2 linked regions of the Saccharomyces cerevisiae S288C genome follow. The protein of the gene in region 1 interacts with the protein of each later gene in a biochemical or structural test. Each region holds a gene or a part of one and is shown on either strand. Other genes may lie near its edges.

The links.
Region 2: the proteins of ENT2 (region 1) and PIP2 are reported together in a solved structure, tested with the Saccharomyces cerevisiae proteins (one study listed by BioGRID).

The regions. Positions count from the first base shown.
Region 1 is NC_001144.5:552,865-556,919, forward strand, and holds ENT2 (epsin), read left to right. Parts: upstream 1-1,713; coding exon 1,714-3,555; downstream 3,556-4,055. Other genes in the region: HMX1 (Hmx1p), read right to left, coding at 1-813; ubiquitin ligase complex subunit HRD3, read left to right, coding at 3,924-4,055. UniProt on the Saccharomyces cerevisiae protein: Binds to membranes enriched in phosphatidylinositol 3,5-bisphosphate (PtdIns(3,5)P2) and phosphatidylinositol 4,5-bisphosphate (PtdIns(4,5)P2). Required for endocytosis and localization of actin.
Region 2 is NC_001147.6:1,014,981-1,028,156, reverse strand, and holds PIP2 (oleate-activated transcription factor PIP2), read left to right. Parts: upstream 1-4,944; coding exon 4,945-7,935; downstream 7,936-13,176. Other genes in the region: RAD17 (Rad17p), read right to left, coding at 109-1,314; SCP1 (Scp1p), read right to left, coding at 1,548-2,150; YOR365C (putative flavin adenine dinucleotide transporter), read left to right, coding at 2,585-4,696; PRE10 (proteasome core particle subunit alpha 7), read left to right, coding at 9,411-10,277; PRT1 (translation initiation factor eIF3 core subunit b), read left to right, coding at 10,505-12,796. UniProt on the Saccharomyces cerevisiae protein: The PIP2-OAF1 heterodimer acts as a transcriptional activator to induce the transcription of genes encoding proteins involved in fatty acid beta-oxidation, a response called oleic acid induction, when cells grow on fatty acids as sole carbon source.

The sequences.
Region 1 (4,055 bases):
AATACACTTGAAGCTGAACTTGCCCATTAACTCGCGACGATTCAACTCTCCAATTTCTGCAACGATGTTGAAGTTCCAATCAAAAATGCCTTCTGCGACGCTAATGATCTGCAACTTTTGTGCTTCGGTCAATTCCGTCCTGGTGGCCAGCTCATAGTTCTTCTTGTATTCCCATTTCAAGCGTGTTTCTTCAGTGGGACCCAGATCGCTGAAGGTGAAGAAGTTTGTGCCCTTTTTGACCAGTTCCTTCTGTGATAGCTTCTCGAAGTTGGGGAAGAGCCCCAGTCTTCTGTACAAATTCGATCGTATTAGCTTGCCGCCGGCGAAAAGCGCCAAGTACAGAACGTGACAGTAAGAAAGAATGGTGCATGGCTCCTTGTGTATGTTTTCGTGGATGTTATTGATAAACTGCTGTAGTAGCGGTGGCTTCTGGAACGTAGCCAGGAATTCGTTTAATGATTCTGTGCTTTTAAACGTGTTTGAGTATAGCAGCTTCAGGTCCTTATAGATCTGCGTAGATCTTCTAAAATCTTCGAGCCAAAACTGCTTCAGAATGGTCGAAGTTTGCAGCTCCTCCTCCGTTACGGGGTCATTCAGTAGGCGATCTATCTCTTGCTCGATGGCATCGAACACATAATAGTACGCCAGAATACCCTGTCTGTATATAAAGCCATGTCTCATGGCGATGGCCATCTTTATGCCCATGAAGGTATTGATTTTATTGTGGGCATCTCTGGTTTGAAAGTTGATTCTGTTTGCTAGCGCCCCCACGTCAGTGGGTGAGGGTATGATTGTATTGCTACTGTCCTCCATTTTTGCGGTTATTTTATGTGTGTGTGTGTATATATGCTGTGTTATATTGTGCACTGTTAAATAGCTCCTCCTTAGACTAAGCAAGAGAGTATGAGGAGGTTGCTCTTATATACAAACACAAGAGGGCGAGAGGGGCACCTGGCCATTGCTCCATCACACCCAACTCAGGTGTAAATCGTCCTACTTATGAAGGTCATTAGCCCATGTTTGAAACCGTGTGTTACATGGCTCAAATTCCACGGTCCGATAACGCCGACCCCGAGCAGGTGCAAATGGCCAGGCGGTATCGCCAATGATCCGTTTATCTAAAGATAGATAGATGGCCGAACGTGGACTGCCTCTATGGGTACAATAACATATGCACATGGCAACGGGTCTTGGTGCTCAATCGACGGGCACATACACCCTGACTTTCCCCATCATACGACGATGCTCTAGTAAACTTGCACCCGCACCTGTTAGATAAACAAGTGCGCCCAAGATCACAATACCGAAGGGGCGATATCACCACTCAGTATTCTACAGTCGAGCATAGCGTAGTCTGGCAGTATCCCGCACGATCCATTGTATTGTTTGTCCAAACCGCATTTTATGTGTAACGATTAATCGTATATACATGGCCTACAAGAAATTACCCTGCGGCGAAGGGTGAAAAAAAAAGTAGTGGAAACTAAAGAAAGAAGAGTTTAGTTACGGACCCTTTCAAGGATTGACACACTCCCAATATTTTGCTACATTATTGACCTTTGTTGAAGGAGGCGTTCGTTTATTTAATTATTTTGTTCTGTTTTGCCTACAACTGCGAATACGCTCACATTCTAGTTTGACCTTCACAAATTCTTATCATCTTCTTTTGTTTATTTTGACACACCCCTATTAAGTGTATTTGTTTTGTAAGTAATGTCTAAGCAGTTTGTTCGTTCTGCAAAGAACATGATGAAGGGCTACTCATCCACACAAGTGCTTGTGAGAGATGCCACGGCGAACGACTCGAGGACTCCATCGATAGACACTCTCGACGATTTGGCACAGAGATCTTACGATTCGGTGGACTTCTTCGAGATTATGGATATGTTAGACAAGAGGCTGAACGATAAGGGCAAATACTGGAGACACGTTGCCAAATCGCTGACCGTTTTGGACTATCTTGTTCGTTTCGGGAGTGAGAACTGTGTGCTATGGTGCAGAGAGAATTTTTACGTAATTAAGACATTAAGGGAATTCAGACACGAAAATGAGTCCGGATTTGACGAGGGACAAATTATCAGAGTAAAGGCTAAAGAACTCGTCTCTTTGTTGAATGATGAAGAAAGGCTACGCGAAGAGAGGTCTATGAATACAAGAAACAGAAGGGCGAACAGAGCTGCTAGGCCAAGGCCAAGAAGACAAAGAACAAGGAGCAACCCACACGATTCTTCTCCCTCTTACCAGGACGATTTGGAAAAGGCCCTAGAGGAGAGCAGAATTACTGCTCAAGAAGATGAACAACGTAGAAGAGAACTGGCCCAGTACGACGATGAAGATCCTGACTTCCAAGCTGCCTTACAACTAAGTAAAGAAGAAGAGGAGTTGAAGCAATTGCAGGAACTACAGAGATTACAGAAGCAACAACAGTCTCTGTCTCAATTTCAAGCTCCTTTACAACAACAACAACCACAACAACAACCAGCGTACTACGACATTTTCGGTAATCCAATCTCCCAAGATGAATACTTACAGTATCAGTACCAACAGGACCAGGAACAAGCAATGGCTCAGCAAAGATGGCTGGACCAGCAGCAAGAACAACAGCAGCTTGCTGAACAACAATATTTTCAGCAGCAACAACAAGCTGCGGCCGCCGCTTCTGCCTTGCAACAGCAACAAACAGCCGCTAATATGCAACAACAACAACAACAGCCCGCTGATTTTCAACAACCTTTGCCTACAGGTTCTAATAATCCGTTTTCCATGGATAATCTTGAAAGACAAAAGCAGGAGCAACAGCATGCTCAATTGCAAAGACAACAAGAAGAAGCTAGACAACAACAAGAACAATTGAAGCTACAACAATTGCAAAGACAACAACAAGAGGAAGCTCAATTACACCAGAAGAGGCAAGAAGAAGCCCAATTACAACAGCAGCAAGCCCAATTGCTACAACAGCAAGCCCAGTTCCAGCAACAACAACCCTTGAAGCAAACAAGGACTGGGAACCAGTCTATATCGGATAAATACAGCGACTTGAATACCTTGTTAGCAACTGGTACAGGGATAGATACTTTTGGTAACACTGGAGAGGCACGTATTCCTGCACAACATACAAAGACAGGCACATTTATAAATTCTCAGGGTACAGGCTACAAACAGGTTACTAATGAACCCAAGAACAACCCTTTCTTAAGCAACCAATACACTGGTTTACCAAGCACAAATATCGTGCCCACGCAAACAGGGTACGGGTTTGGTAACCAACCTCAAAGTCCTCCTACTAATTCTCCTCAGCAAAATCCTACTGGTATAAGCTACTCTCAGCCACAACAGCAACAACAGCCACAGCAACAACCGCAATACATGCAAAATTTCCAACAACAGCAACCTCAATACGCCCAAAACTTCCAACAACAACCACAATACACTCAAAATTATCAACAACAACCACAATACATTCAACCTCATCAACAACAACAGCAGCAGCAGCAGCAGCAACAGCAGCAACAGGGATATACTCCTGACCAAGGTGTAAGCTTAATTGATCTTTGATACTGTCCTATATATACTTTTTTGTCATGGGTACACATACATGTACGACATATATATATATATATATATATATATTAGCGAGTTTACATTGATGTAGAGCAGTAACTGGAAGAAATAAAAATTTAAACTTAATACTAGGGGGTCCGTCTTCTCGTGGGTACTTCTTTTACAGTTTTCAACTTCTGCTGACTTGTATGCCTTCTTGGCGCTTCTTCGGAAAAGTTGACAGCGGGCTTTACTTTAACGGCAAATCGCAGTAAGTAAGCAAGTAACGAACTCGCACTTCAGCAAAATAAAAAAGAACAATCGATTAGAAATTCAAATTTCACCGTGACTCTTTAACCCCTGCCGAATATTATAAGCAAACTATGATAACACTCTTATTATACCTGTGCGTAATATGTAACGCAATAGTGTTAATAAGGGCTGATTCGATAGCGGACCCTTGGCCTGAAGCGCGACATCTACTAAATACCATAGCTAAGTCCAGAGACCCAATG
Region 2 (13,176 bases), on another chromosome or scaffold:
ATCACATAATAATATATAGTTAAACTTTTATTTAATTGTAAGTTATATGTTATAAAATTACCAAATGCTGAATGAAGTTCTGCGTTTTCTGCGATGCTGGATATTGACTTAAAAAAATATAGGAATATCCTTTGTTGGATACTTGCAGTGATTCTCTTCATCCTCACTTTCCCTGTTTTTATTGTTTTCTTCTTCAGATGGTAGTTTAATTTTTTTCCCATTCAATTGCAGCAAGTTGTCATTTGAAGTTTCATTGCCTTTATCTGTACCATATCTTTTTCTTATAGTTGATTTTTTAAAACTATTACGATTGCCAAGTTCATTAGTCTCCATCAGGAGTTCTATTTCTGTCTGTGCTGCCTCATCTATGGATTCTTTTTCTAGCATGCAAACCTCAATTACTATACCGGGATAATCCTTGGGTAGCTGCAGTTGGCGAATACTACCTGGTCGATTATTTGAAGGTCTTGTAGTATCAGTGATAATGACATCGTCTGTTTGACTTAGAATATTTACACTCAATACGCCATGAACATCCATCCTGAAAAGGACTTTGCTTGCAATTTTAGTACTCTTTCTGATTTTATCAAACGAGGTGAAATCGAAGAACCCAATTACAGCAAAACCATCTATTACTGTTGTGGAATCTCCGTCAAATACTTGTAACTTCTCTAGTATGGATCTGTTACTGGGTAATTTTATTTTAGAAAATCCTAGCTGAGATTTAGATATCAGGGCAAATACATTCTCATCATTCGCCTCGGTCTTTGCATATACATAGCACTCTTTGCATCCGATTTCTTTTAGATCCTTTAAGGCTGAATGAAGGGCTTCGCCCTTAATAATTGCCTCAAAGCTTATCCTTTCTCTATCGAGTTCTAGTCCATTAGTATCAAAATCCTTAATTAAGTAGGTAGAGTACTCCACTCTCTCAGAAATGAACGAGTCTTCAAATATTAGTACAAATGGTGATCCATGTCCATCATAAGATAAAGTACACTCAACAATGTCATCCGAATTCCTGTTCATCACGCTAACGCTATCTAAGATATGATTTATTTTTACACAAAGTTTCATGTGATCCTCAGTTTCATTTCTATACGAATAAGACATAAATAGCTCCCGAGATAACAGTAGTTGGATTTTTATCACATGATTATTCTCCCTGACAAATGACAGCCCATCAGCATCAATGAATATAAGCACATCGTCTTTAGAACCAAAAGGTGTTAAACAACTTAAAGCAGTTGTGATATGTTCTAAGTGCACCGTTGAGGCAGAAAACTTGTTCGCTAGCTCACTGTTGATTCGCATAGTTGAAATCCTTCAACTACTTTGTTTCCACACCGTTCTGTGAGATTGATTTGTATAATCACATTTTTACCGGTAACGTTAACTTTTGTTACGCGTCTCTAGCCACCTTAGTGTTTATGTAGGAAAACTTTGATGGAAAACTAAAATATATCAAAGGAACTTTGGTTGCGTATATAGGGTTCTTAAATGTTTATTTATCAATTTCTGCCAGAGAAAGTGTTAATAATAATTCTCTAAACTATATCTCTCCGTTGTCCTAACACCACTCCTTCAGTAGCCTGAGATGCACCTTTCATATAACCGTATTCAAAAGTGCTCCATCCAGTACCATCTTGTAGATGTTTTGGTTTAGACTTAACCGGGGGTCTTGGCTTCTTTGTTGACAGTTGTGGTCCTAGAACTGGAAATCTATCTGTATGTTTTTTGTTGGCGTAACGAGATAGTGACTTCAACGTTTGGAAAACAATGGCAGGATCCTTTTTCTCAAAAAGATCAATTGTCTGAAACAGTTCATCTTCAGGCACACCATATTTTCTCGAAAATGATAAAAATTGGGAAATTTGATCCATTTGAACAAATGGCATTTTAGAGCTCTTCCAACTAATATGGTTAGCTTCTCCTGTGTCTGCTTCATATAAAATATTTGCCAGCTTACATAGGACTGTTCCATCTTTCAAGCATTCCAATAAGTCTCCAGGAGGAGCTATCTCTTTTAGGACAGATTTATATACCCATATTTTGATATTTTGAATTGCTTCCGGTGAAAATTTGCTTTCTCTTAGTTGTCTCAAATCTTCATCTAAGGATGTGACATCTGCCTTCTTATCGTAACTCATCGGTAAACTTTAGCTGTACGCTTACAAAGAAGTCATTTACTTAGACACTACTTATATCTTAGCTTTACTATTTGCGTTTATACTCCTTTTGGAACTCCACGGATGTCCAATTACACGTGATGAATGGGTGTTCAGCATATGTTACAACTATAATGCATGACATGATGAATATGTAGTGGTAATCCATGCTGTATTTTGTTATTACTGTAGCATGGTATTGATGCATTTTTAATTTTTATAATGCTGCTATGGAGCGATCCATATCGACGACAGCTTTAGTTCATGGCGGTCCATTTATATTTTTGTGCCCGAATTACTGACACATTTAAAAAATGATGCAGTGTCAATATTTTGGAAGGATGATGAAGCAAAGTCGTAATGCTATTTTAAATAATATTTAACCTCTCTGATTTATAGATGTAAAGAGAATAAGTATGCTTCCCATTAAAGTCTTCTCTTTATCTCGGATTTTTGTTTTGCTAGCAATCTTCCGACAAATACACGCTATTTCCATTAACAGCTCTACTTTCCAGGTTTCTAACTCTTTTACACTACTGAACAACGCATCGACTCTATTCCCAGTACCATTTGATGCATATACTAAAGAATATCTAAGGACTTCGGCTCTGTTGACTTGTGCTAAAGACTCACAGTTTTCTGCATCGTATTTCGAAGCTGCTTTTTTCCCGAGAAATAATACTCTATTCTTTAATGTTGAAGCACAAACAATTATGAGCGAAAACATAACCATCAAGGCAGAATTGATTGCATATGGTCTCAATGTTTATACCAAAGTTTTTGATCTATGTGGAATCCAAGATAATTTATTATGTCCGTTGAAGCCGGGAAATATAGAACTCATGGGAAGTTATTATGTTGAGGCCGCGGTAGCTAGCCAAATACCAAGCATAACATATAATATACCTGACTTAGACGCATATATTGTGGTGACAGCATACTCCACTATTGATAAAGAATTTACCAAACCTCTAGCATGTGTACAAGTGATGTTATCAAATGGTAGAACAGTCCAAACAGAGTATTTATCGTGGAATCTAGTGATATTGACAATTTCCGGAATTATGTTTTCAGTGGTTTATTCTTTGCAAGGTTATACGGTTACTTCAACAAGACTGGCGTCTTATTCAATATCGCTACTTTTATATTTCCAAAATTTGGCTATTTTAGCTATGATTAGTGTATCATTTTTACCGCCTATTGTCGCCGCTTGGACTCAAAATTTCCAATGGTCAATGGGAATAATAAGGATAAATTTTATGCAGCGGTTATTTGACTGGTATGTTGTCGCAACATCTGGGTCCCCCACCGTTGTATACCGCAATAAAGAAGTTTTATCGATCAGTGTTCAAAAAAGATCCTTGAACAGTAAAATCATATCAGCGTCAAGTAATTTAAATGGTATTGAAAGTTCCCAAAAAAATGATTTATTATACACTTCAAATTTGAGAAATTCAAATGACTATCTGTCAAAAATTTTAGTATTAAGAGGTATTAAAAGGGTGTCTTACAAAGCTGGAATTGAGATATCAAATTTCTTTTTAACGGGATTTTCCTTCTTTATCATATTCATTTGTATGATAATATTGGCGTTTATTATCTTCAAAACATTTTTGAAAGTACTTCAGAAGTTTAAAGTTAAGACAATTAGATATTTACACTTCCACACACATTGGAGTGCACTTTTACAGGGGACACTATATCGAGCGGTGTTCATAATTTATTCTGAGATATCTCTTTTAGCACTTTGGGAGTTCACTCAAACAGACTCAGCAGCTACCTTAGTGGAGGCAATCGTTGTTTTCATTTTGATTACAGTCTTGTTATCATCCGCAAGCGTAAGAATATGGAGGAAGATGATCAAGTCTAAGAAAATATTTGGCCAGCCAAGCTATTTACTCTTCAGTAGCTCGAAATTCTTAAACAAGTTCGGCTTTCTTTCCTCTCAATTTAAGTCTACAAAAGTCTGGTGGTTAATGGCGACCTCTGCACACATGCTTATTAGGTCTATACTAGTGGGTTCTCTACAAGCGCACGGAAAATCTCAATCTATTGGTATCTTTTTGAATGAAGCTATCTATCTCATCCTTTTGTGCTGGATGCAACCTTACATGGATAAAACAACCAACTTCTTCAATATTAGTATCCATTCACTGAATTTAGTGAACGCATTTTTTTTCTTATTTTTCAGTAACTTATTTCAGCAGCCCATAGCTGTGTCTTCTTTTATGGGACTAATTTTCTTTTTTCTAAATGCAGCGTTTTCTTTGTATCTCTTCATTTTCATATTGATATGCTTTACGATGGCAATATACTACAAACACCCTGATACAAGATACAAACCTATTGATGATCAAAGACGATCCTTTTTGAAGGGTGAAATGGATGATGATGCGGTTTACGAATCGGTCCCGGAACTGCACGAAATGAAGAAAGCCGTTCTTGAATGCAACGGTATTCAAAAGCCGCAGATCAATAAGATTGACCTTTGTAAACAAAATTCGAACTGTGAATATCTGTATATGTGAATAAATAAAATCGTGACTAATACGTCCGGTAGGATTTGCCTTCCTGCAAAATTTCTTCTGATTTTGGAATTTGAAAGGTTGTAAGACCATCTCGGAACTAAATATAATCTCCGGAGTATCTCCAACGAAGAAAACATAAAGCGTTGTTAGGACTTAATAGAGGTCAGATAAAGAAAATCTACTGAAACGTATAGAGCGGATGAAATATCACTTTCTGATCTTGCTGAACAAAATTTCTTCGATAAAAGATGTACTTTACAGACGAATCATCACCGGCAATGAATAGAGTAGGTAAAAAAAGGAATAGACTTTCTTTTGTTTGCCAAGCTTGTAGAAAAGCAAAGACGAAGTGTGACCAGGAAAAACCTAGATGTGGCAGATGTACTAAACAAAACCTCTTTTGTATATATGATGTCGCCAGACAGGCGGCCCCTAGGAATCCGAATAAGGATGCCACCATAGCGAGACTGAAAAAGGAGATTCGTTACTGGAGAAATAAAACCGTGGATTTGACTCAAGAAAAGAAAGACTTCTACACTGCATTGAAAAGGCCGACTGAAGAATTAGCTGCTAGAAGGACATGTAAAAGCTTGCAGGAAAATAGCTTTCCAATAAGTCTTTATAAGACTCATCCCAGATTGATTATGACCAAAGTGATGAAAAGAGAAATCAACCCTTTATCTGAGAAGTACTTAATATTTCAAGATACCTTTCTGAAGACATTAATTGCCTCCGTGCTTCTAAGTTGTTCCAGAAACTCCATGATTCCTGCTTTAAATGCAGATATTAGTAGGTCGAGGACACAGCCATGCGTAAAGAATAACGTTGTAAAAATGAGAGAGGTTCTATTGAAAAACTCAAAATACGAATCACAAAGAAAATCCATTAACGAGTTTACGGACAGGCTACTACAGAGAAAGAACCCTGAAGAACAGATTGCGGTAAATAAAGTAATTTCTTTATTATACAGTAACAGGGAATCGTCATATTTAGAGGATACATGCCCCACCGAAAACGACTATTCTGATTTGTTGAAAGGCTACATCAATGAAATCGAGAAAACGCTCCCTCCCAAGGCAATCATTGAACAGTACCTCTCTCATTTCTTTGAGCATATTTTCCACCTAATCCCTTTCGCCAGCAAGGAAATGTTGGAGGAATCAATTCACACAACAGTACAGTATAATGAATTAGGAGAGGTACGACTATCGATGGGCACAACCCTTATACGAAATAAAATGGAGAATCTGTGTATCTTACTGTTAATTTTGAGGATCGCGTATATCTCTTTGACATTTATAGAAGATAAGATTGAAGATTACAGTCCGTATATTACCAAAGAGATGCTAGAGCAATATCCGATTCAAAGCGAAGTAATTTTCCTAGCGCAGCAGATACTTGCATCGGAAAATTGGTGTGCTTGTGCAAATGAAAATACCATTTCATGCTTACTCTATATCTGGTGTGCATTTGTTTTTTCCCCAACTGAGGGTGATTTTCTGTTAGAACAACCGTCGGATGTTATAATTAACCTTGTCATACTAATAGGGACGTCTATCGGATTACATCGTGACCCATCTGACTTTCCAGCCTTGAACCACCCCGAAGCTTCAGACAAAAGGCTGCTAAATTTACGAAGGATACAGTGGCTATCAATTATCTCTATGGCAACTCTGGAGTCAAGCCTGAAGGGTAGACTATTGGTCTCACCCCTTTCAATGATTGATCTTTTCATTGACGTTCGGGATCCCAATTGTGTAGAAATCTATAAAAAAAGGGTTAAGAAGGATCTAACAGGTTCCGAATCGGATGAGCAACTGCTCGAAATCCATGAGATTTTTTTCCATAGGGCTCAATTAGCATTATTCTTGTCTGATTTGAATAATATAACCATTTCATACAGTGGTTCGGTTCCAATGGATACACTAGAAACTTTACGCGTTAAAGCCAATGAACTTTTAAAAAACAAATTTCAGCTAAGAAGTGTGGATATTAACATCTACGACGAAGAGAAGACATTTCAAAAACTAACGTTCAATTCAATTTTGAATTCTATAAGTTTATCGGGCCAGATCTTGGGTAAATTAATGATGTTAAGGGCCTCAATAGCGCTGATGTTATATTTTGAAACACTTGCAATGGAGAGAAGCGAATGCTTATCCTTCTTCTATAAGTATTTTTTTCAATGTTGTGCCGACACCATTTCCCTAATCAGATTTTTTTTCCTGTATTTCAATGGCAGTTACGAGAAAGTTCTTTCTTCTTTAGTTTGTTTCATCACTACAAAAGTTATTCAATTGGCTGTTCCTACCACGATGTTTACCCTTTTGGTCATCATCATGCGGGTAGAGCTGGCCAAAAATATGCTTCTGGTCAAATGTAACGAATGCAATGCCAGAGGTGACATTAGTGACCTCCCAGAAATAAAGGAGAAAATAAAGTCATTGGACACTATCAAGGAGAACTTCGAGAGGCTTTTGTTGGAAGTATATTTACTTGCGTCCCAAAACCTGAGATTTAAATATTTCTACATTTTCAAGATGTTGACCTTGTTTGACGTATTCATTCAAAGGCTGAGGAAAGGTCAATTATTTTCTGGTTTGTTTGTCAAAGTAGACAAAGACTTGACTACCAAAAAAATTGCCACAATGTTGGAGTTGACACTTGGAATTAACTTGGACAAGTCTGACCATTTAATTGATAGACTAAAGGGCAAAAATCTCACTGTTAACTTTACCCTTGATCAATTATACCAAATCATCAAAGAATTTGACAGAATAAAAAACATCGGTGTTGCTGACCCACAAAATTCTCTGAATCCATCAAAACCAAACATGAAAGATAATACACCCACAATTGAACTTTTACTCAACTCCAGCGTGGAAAATGAGAGTGTACCACCGTACAGCAGCTCAAATGACCCTACAAATGTTGGTAATGCCTCCACTTATAGCTTAGCACACAATATTAGTAACCAAAATAATGAGGAAAACATGCCTCCGTCAATTGGTTCGAGTGAAAGTAACCGTGCCGCTCCTAATCTAAACTTTATGCCGATAAACAATAACTACAATAACAGTGGTTCGAACATTAATAACAATGACAATGTTAAGTTACCGAGTAATTTTAAAAACTACTATGACCCTCCCATGTCTTCTTTGGACATATCCATGGATGTTCCCGATATTTTTGGTAGCCTTGATTTCTTCGATTATGACCTACTTTTCCAGAACGACTAGGAAGTCTTTTCCAGTTTTCCTGAGATGTATACGGCCACTTCATTGCGCCTAATACGGTAGAGTGTCGACATAGTTATTCTATCAGGTTGTATCATGACAAGAACTTGTGAGCTTTCCGCTTAGATATGGCTCAAATAATATACTGTAAATTATGGTGCCTTTTGATAGCGCATTGAATTGGGACTGGAAATAATGTCAACTATTGCAGAGATAGAAAAGAAATTCAAGACTTTGTTTTGTATTTTATTTAATATATATATTATACATAAGTTAAAAGCGCAGTATATAAGGTAGGTAATATCGCTGCCATCACGGTAGGAACGCCAGTTTATTCCATTTACAATAGGAAGATCTGAAACTAAAACAACGGCCGTGCTTATAAAGCATTACCAGTATGAAAGTCCTAAACAAGAAGGAAGCACCTCCTCCAAAGACGAACCCACCTTAATTATATAACTTTTAATGTCTAGGTTATAAAACATTGACAGCTCAGACGATAGAAAAACATGTGATACGAATCATTTCGCCGTTGTGTGTTTTAAGAAGAAAAATGTTAATGTTAGCAAGACGAAATCACACGTATAAATAAATATAGCAGCACGACCAGCTTGGAAGTTCAAAAAAAAAAAAAAAGTGAAGATAGACAATCATAGGCACAATTTCTGATGGTAGTGAACATATAATGGGCAGACCAAGCTCTAGCAACTTAATGCAGAGAAAGATTTGAAGCTACCGCCGCGTGTTCAGCGTGACTCTCTATAATAGGCCATTTATGTACAAGATCTTCTGCAATCCTATCAAGTATTCGTACTACTATTTTCCCTGCCAATTAGACGTGATGAAAAATATTGCTGGGCTTTGGTTTGAAAACGACTATTTAAATAAATATTACCTTTCCTTTTCTTCAATTGTTTCTCATCTCCTTCGGCCTCCGTTAAGTATATGTTTTTTTACGCGTTGTCAATGACAATACCGCAGGATGCGAATGTGTGACTTCGTAATCATCGGTGTGAAAAATACTCTAACTTTAAACAAAGGTAACATCTAAACTGTCTGGAAATATGCAGCTATTCCCATGTATACACACTAGAAAGAACAGTATTTCCCAGGTCCCAGAAGTTCTCTGTATATGTAGTCCTACCCGTAATTTACCCTTTGAAGAGATAATCTGAGCACTCAGATTTCGACCCTGATGGGGTCACTTTTCTGAATCATTGCTGACATTGCTTCTGAAAAGTGTTGCCTGTGTCTTTATTCCACTTATGAGTTGGTAAGCTTCCTCACAATTTATAATGGGTTCCGATAGCTAAATCACGTTTAACGAAGATTTCGCCGCCCCTCTAAATCGGTGGCAAAAATAAGAAAGTAAGTGGTAATAGTGGCGGTAGAGGGTTTATTTGGTAGTGCAGTTGTAAAGCTTTCAAACACATTCGAGCGTCGCATCATCAAATTAACAAAAGCATAACTCTTCAGCAATGACATCAATTGGTACTGGTTACGATCTTTCCAATAGTGTTTTTTCCCCCGATGGTAGAAATTTCCAAGTAGAGTATGCCGTCAAAGCAGTCGAAAACGGTACCACATCAATCGGTATAAAGTGTAACGACGGTGTAGTCTTTGCAGTGGAAAAGCTCATTACGTCTAAACTGCTGGTCCCACAAAAAAATGTCAAGATTCAAGTCGTAGACCGTCACATCGGTTGCGTTTATTCAGGTTTGATTCCTGATGGTAGGCACCTGGTTAATCGTGGTCGTGAAGAAGCCGCCAGCTTCAAAAAGCTGTATAAAACGCCCATTCCCATTCCTGCATTTGCAGACCGTTTAGGACAATATGTGCAGGCGCACACTTTATACAACAGTGTTAGACCGTTCGGGGTCAGTACCATCTTTGGTGGTGTAGATAAAAATGGTGCTCATCTTTACATGTTGGAACCAAGTGGCTCTTATTGGGGCTACAAGGGGGCTGCCACTGGGAAAGGTAGGCAATCTGCGAAGGCTGAATTGGAAAAATTAGTTGACCATCATCCAGAAGGTCTTTCAGCAAGAGAGGCCGTTAAACAAGCTGCAAAGATTATCTATTTGGCACACGAGGATAACAAGGAAAAGGATTTTGAATTGGAAATAAGTTGGTGTTCACTGTCGGAAACGAATGGTCTGCACAAGTTCGTTAAGGGCGATCTGCTACAGGAAGCTATCGATTTTGCCCAAAAAGAAATTAACGGCGATGATGACGAGGACGAAGATGACAGTGATAACGTCATGTCCAGTGATGATGAAAATGCTCCAGTGGCTACGAATGCAAACGCTACCACTGACCAAGAGGGTGATATTCACCTAGAATAGGTGACATTCTGATAATACGTTAAGAAGAACCAAAGAGTTGAAATAATATGAACTCACGTGTAACGCCGCGAAACAAAAAATACATTTTAGTACCTTCCATTACATTTTACGTAACTAGATAAACTTCTCATTGTGCACCATCTTATCATTATTACTTGATCGCCTAATACTTTTATTCTTCTGACACCTATTACCCTCCTTTCCATATTTTGGATAGCGGGAAACTAATGAAAAATTTTCTTCCACGCACATTGAAAAATATTTACGAATTATATTTCAATAACATCTCAGTACATAGTATAGTATCTCGCAACACACAGCTCAAAAGGTCAAAGATAATTCAAATGACTACCGAGACTTTCGAAGACATTAAGCTAGAGGACATCCCTGTTGACGACATTGATTTTTCCGACCTGGAAGAACAATACAAGGTCACTGAAGAATTCAATTTCGATCAGTACATCGTCGTTAATGGTGCCCCAGTCATCCCATCCGCCAAAGTTCCTGTTTTGAAAAAGGCTTTGACTTCTTTGTTTTCCAAAGCTGGTAAAGTTGTTAACATGGAATTTCCAATTGATGAAGCCACTGGTAAGACGAAAGGTTTTCTCTTCGTGGAATGTGGCTCAATGAACGATGCTAAAAAAATTATCAAGAGTTTCCACGGTAAAAGACTGGATTTAAAACATCGTTTGTTTCTTTATACTATGAAAGATGTTGAAAGATATAATTCTGACGACTTTGACACCGAATTCAGGGAGCCTGATATGCCTACATTCGTTCCATCTAGTTCCTTAAAATCCTGGTTAATGGACGACAAAGTGAGAGATCAGTTTGTATTACAAGATGACGTGAAGACTAGTGTGTTCTGGAACTCTATGTTCAATGAAGAAGATTCTTTGGTGGAATCTAGAGAGAACTGGTCTACCAATTATGTTAGATTCTCCCCAAAGGGTACCTATTTGTTTTCTTACCATCAACAGGGTGTAACTGCATGGGGTGGTCCAAACTTCGATCGTTTGAGAAGATTCTATCATCCAGATGTAAGAAACTCTTCCGTCTCTCCGAATGAAAAGTACCTGGTCACTTTCTCCACGGAACCAATCATTGTAGAAGAAGATAACGAATTCTCTCCATTTACCAAGAAAAATGAGGGTCATCAATTATGCATCTGGGACATTGCTTCTGGTCTGTTGATGGCAACTTTCCCAGTGATAAAGAGCCCATATCTGAAATGGCCTTTAGTTAGATGGTCTTATAATGATAAATATTGTGCTCGTATGGTTGGAGACAGTTTAATAGTTCACGATGCTACTAAAAACTTCATGCCATTAGAAGCTAAGGCTTTGAAGCCTTCTGGTATTAGAGATTTCTCATTTGCTCCAGAAGGTGTTAAATTACAACCATTCAGAAACGGTGACGAGCCTTCTGTTTTATTGGCTTATTGGACTCCTGAGACTAATAATTCCGCTTGTACTGCTACCATTGCTGAAGTTCCTCGCGGTAGAGTGCTAAAAACCGTTAACTTAGTTCAAGTCTCCAACGTAACTCTGCACTGGCAAAACCAAGCTGAGTTCCTGTGCTTCAATGTCGAACGTCACACAAAGTCTGGTAAGACTCAATTCAGTAATCTACAAATTTGTAGGTTGACTGAAAGAGATATACCAGTTGAAAAGGTTGAATTGAAAGATAGTGTCTTTGAATTCGGTTGGGAACCCCACGGAAATAGATTTGTTACAATTTCTGTTCATGAAGTAGCTGATATGAATTATGCTATCCCAGCAAATACAATCAGATTTTACGCTCCAGAAACTAAAGAAAAGACTGACGTAATTAAAAGATGGAGCTTGGTCAAAGAAATTCCAAAAACTTTTGCCAACACTGTTTCTTGGTCTCCAGCGGGTAGATTTGTGGTTGTAGGTGCTTTAGTGGGTCCAAACATGCGTAGATCAGACCTACAATTTTACGATATGGACTATCCAGGTGAAAAGAATATTAATGACAATAATGATGTTTCAGCTTCTTTGAAAGATGTTGCTCATCCTACCTACTCTGCGGCTACTAATATCACTTGGGATCCATCTGGTAGATACGTTACCGCATGGTCAAGTTCTTTGAAACACAAGGTGGAGCATGGTTACAAAATTTTCAATATTGCTGGTAACTTAGTTAAAGAAGACATCATTGCTGGCTTCAAGAACTTTGCCTGGAGACCAAGGCCAGCTTCCATTTTGTCTAACGCCGAAAGGAAAAAGGTTAGGAAAAACTTGAGGGAATGGTCTGCCCAATTCGAAGAGCAAGATGCAATGGAAGCTGACACCGCCATGAGAGATTTGATTCTACACCAACGTGAATTATTGAAGCAATGGACCGAATATAGAGAAAAAATTGGCCAAGAAATGGAAAAATCTATGAATTTCAAAATCTTTGACGTTCAACCAGAAGATGCCAGCGATGACTTTACCACCATCGAAGAGATAGTTGAAGAAGTTTTGGAAGAAACAAAGGAAAAGGTCGAATAAATTTCATGAACTTACGGGCTTGTATGTAAACTAACAACAATATCTAGTATAAGTATGAGAATTAGTCTAATATTCATAAATACTACAATAGGCTCTATTATCTTTGTAATCTGCAGGGGTCGCTCTCCTCGTACAAAATTATAAAAGGGTCCTGCGTCCTTTTCTAGTTGCACTTTTCTTTTTTTGTTCTCCGAGAATTTCTTTTTACTGGGCACAATTTTTCCTCTTTTCTTTTTGTTTTAGGCATTATAAAGAAGAAAAATTGGCTTAGAGAGAATATACTTGCAAATTGAAAACTATAGTCACTGTGAGAGATTGGACTAAAAAGCGCAAATTTGAGATAAAGTGGGATCTTCCTGATATTAGCTGTCGTTACTGGT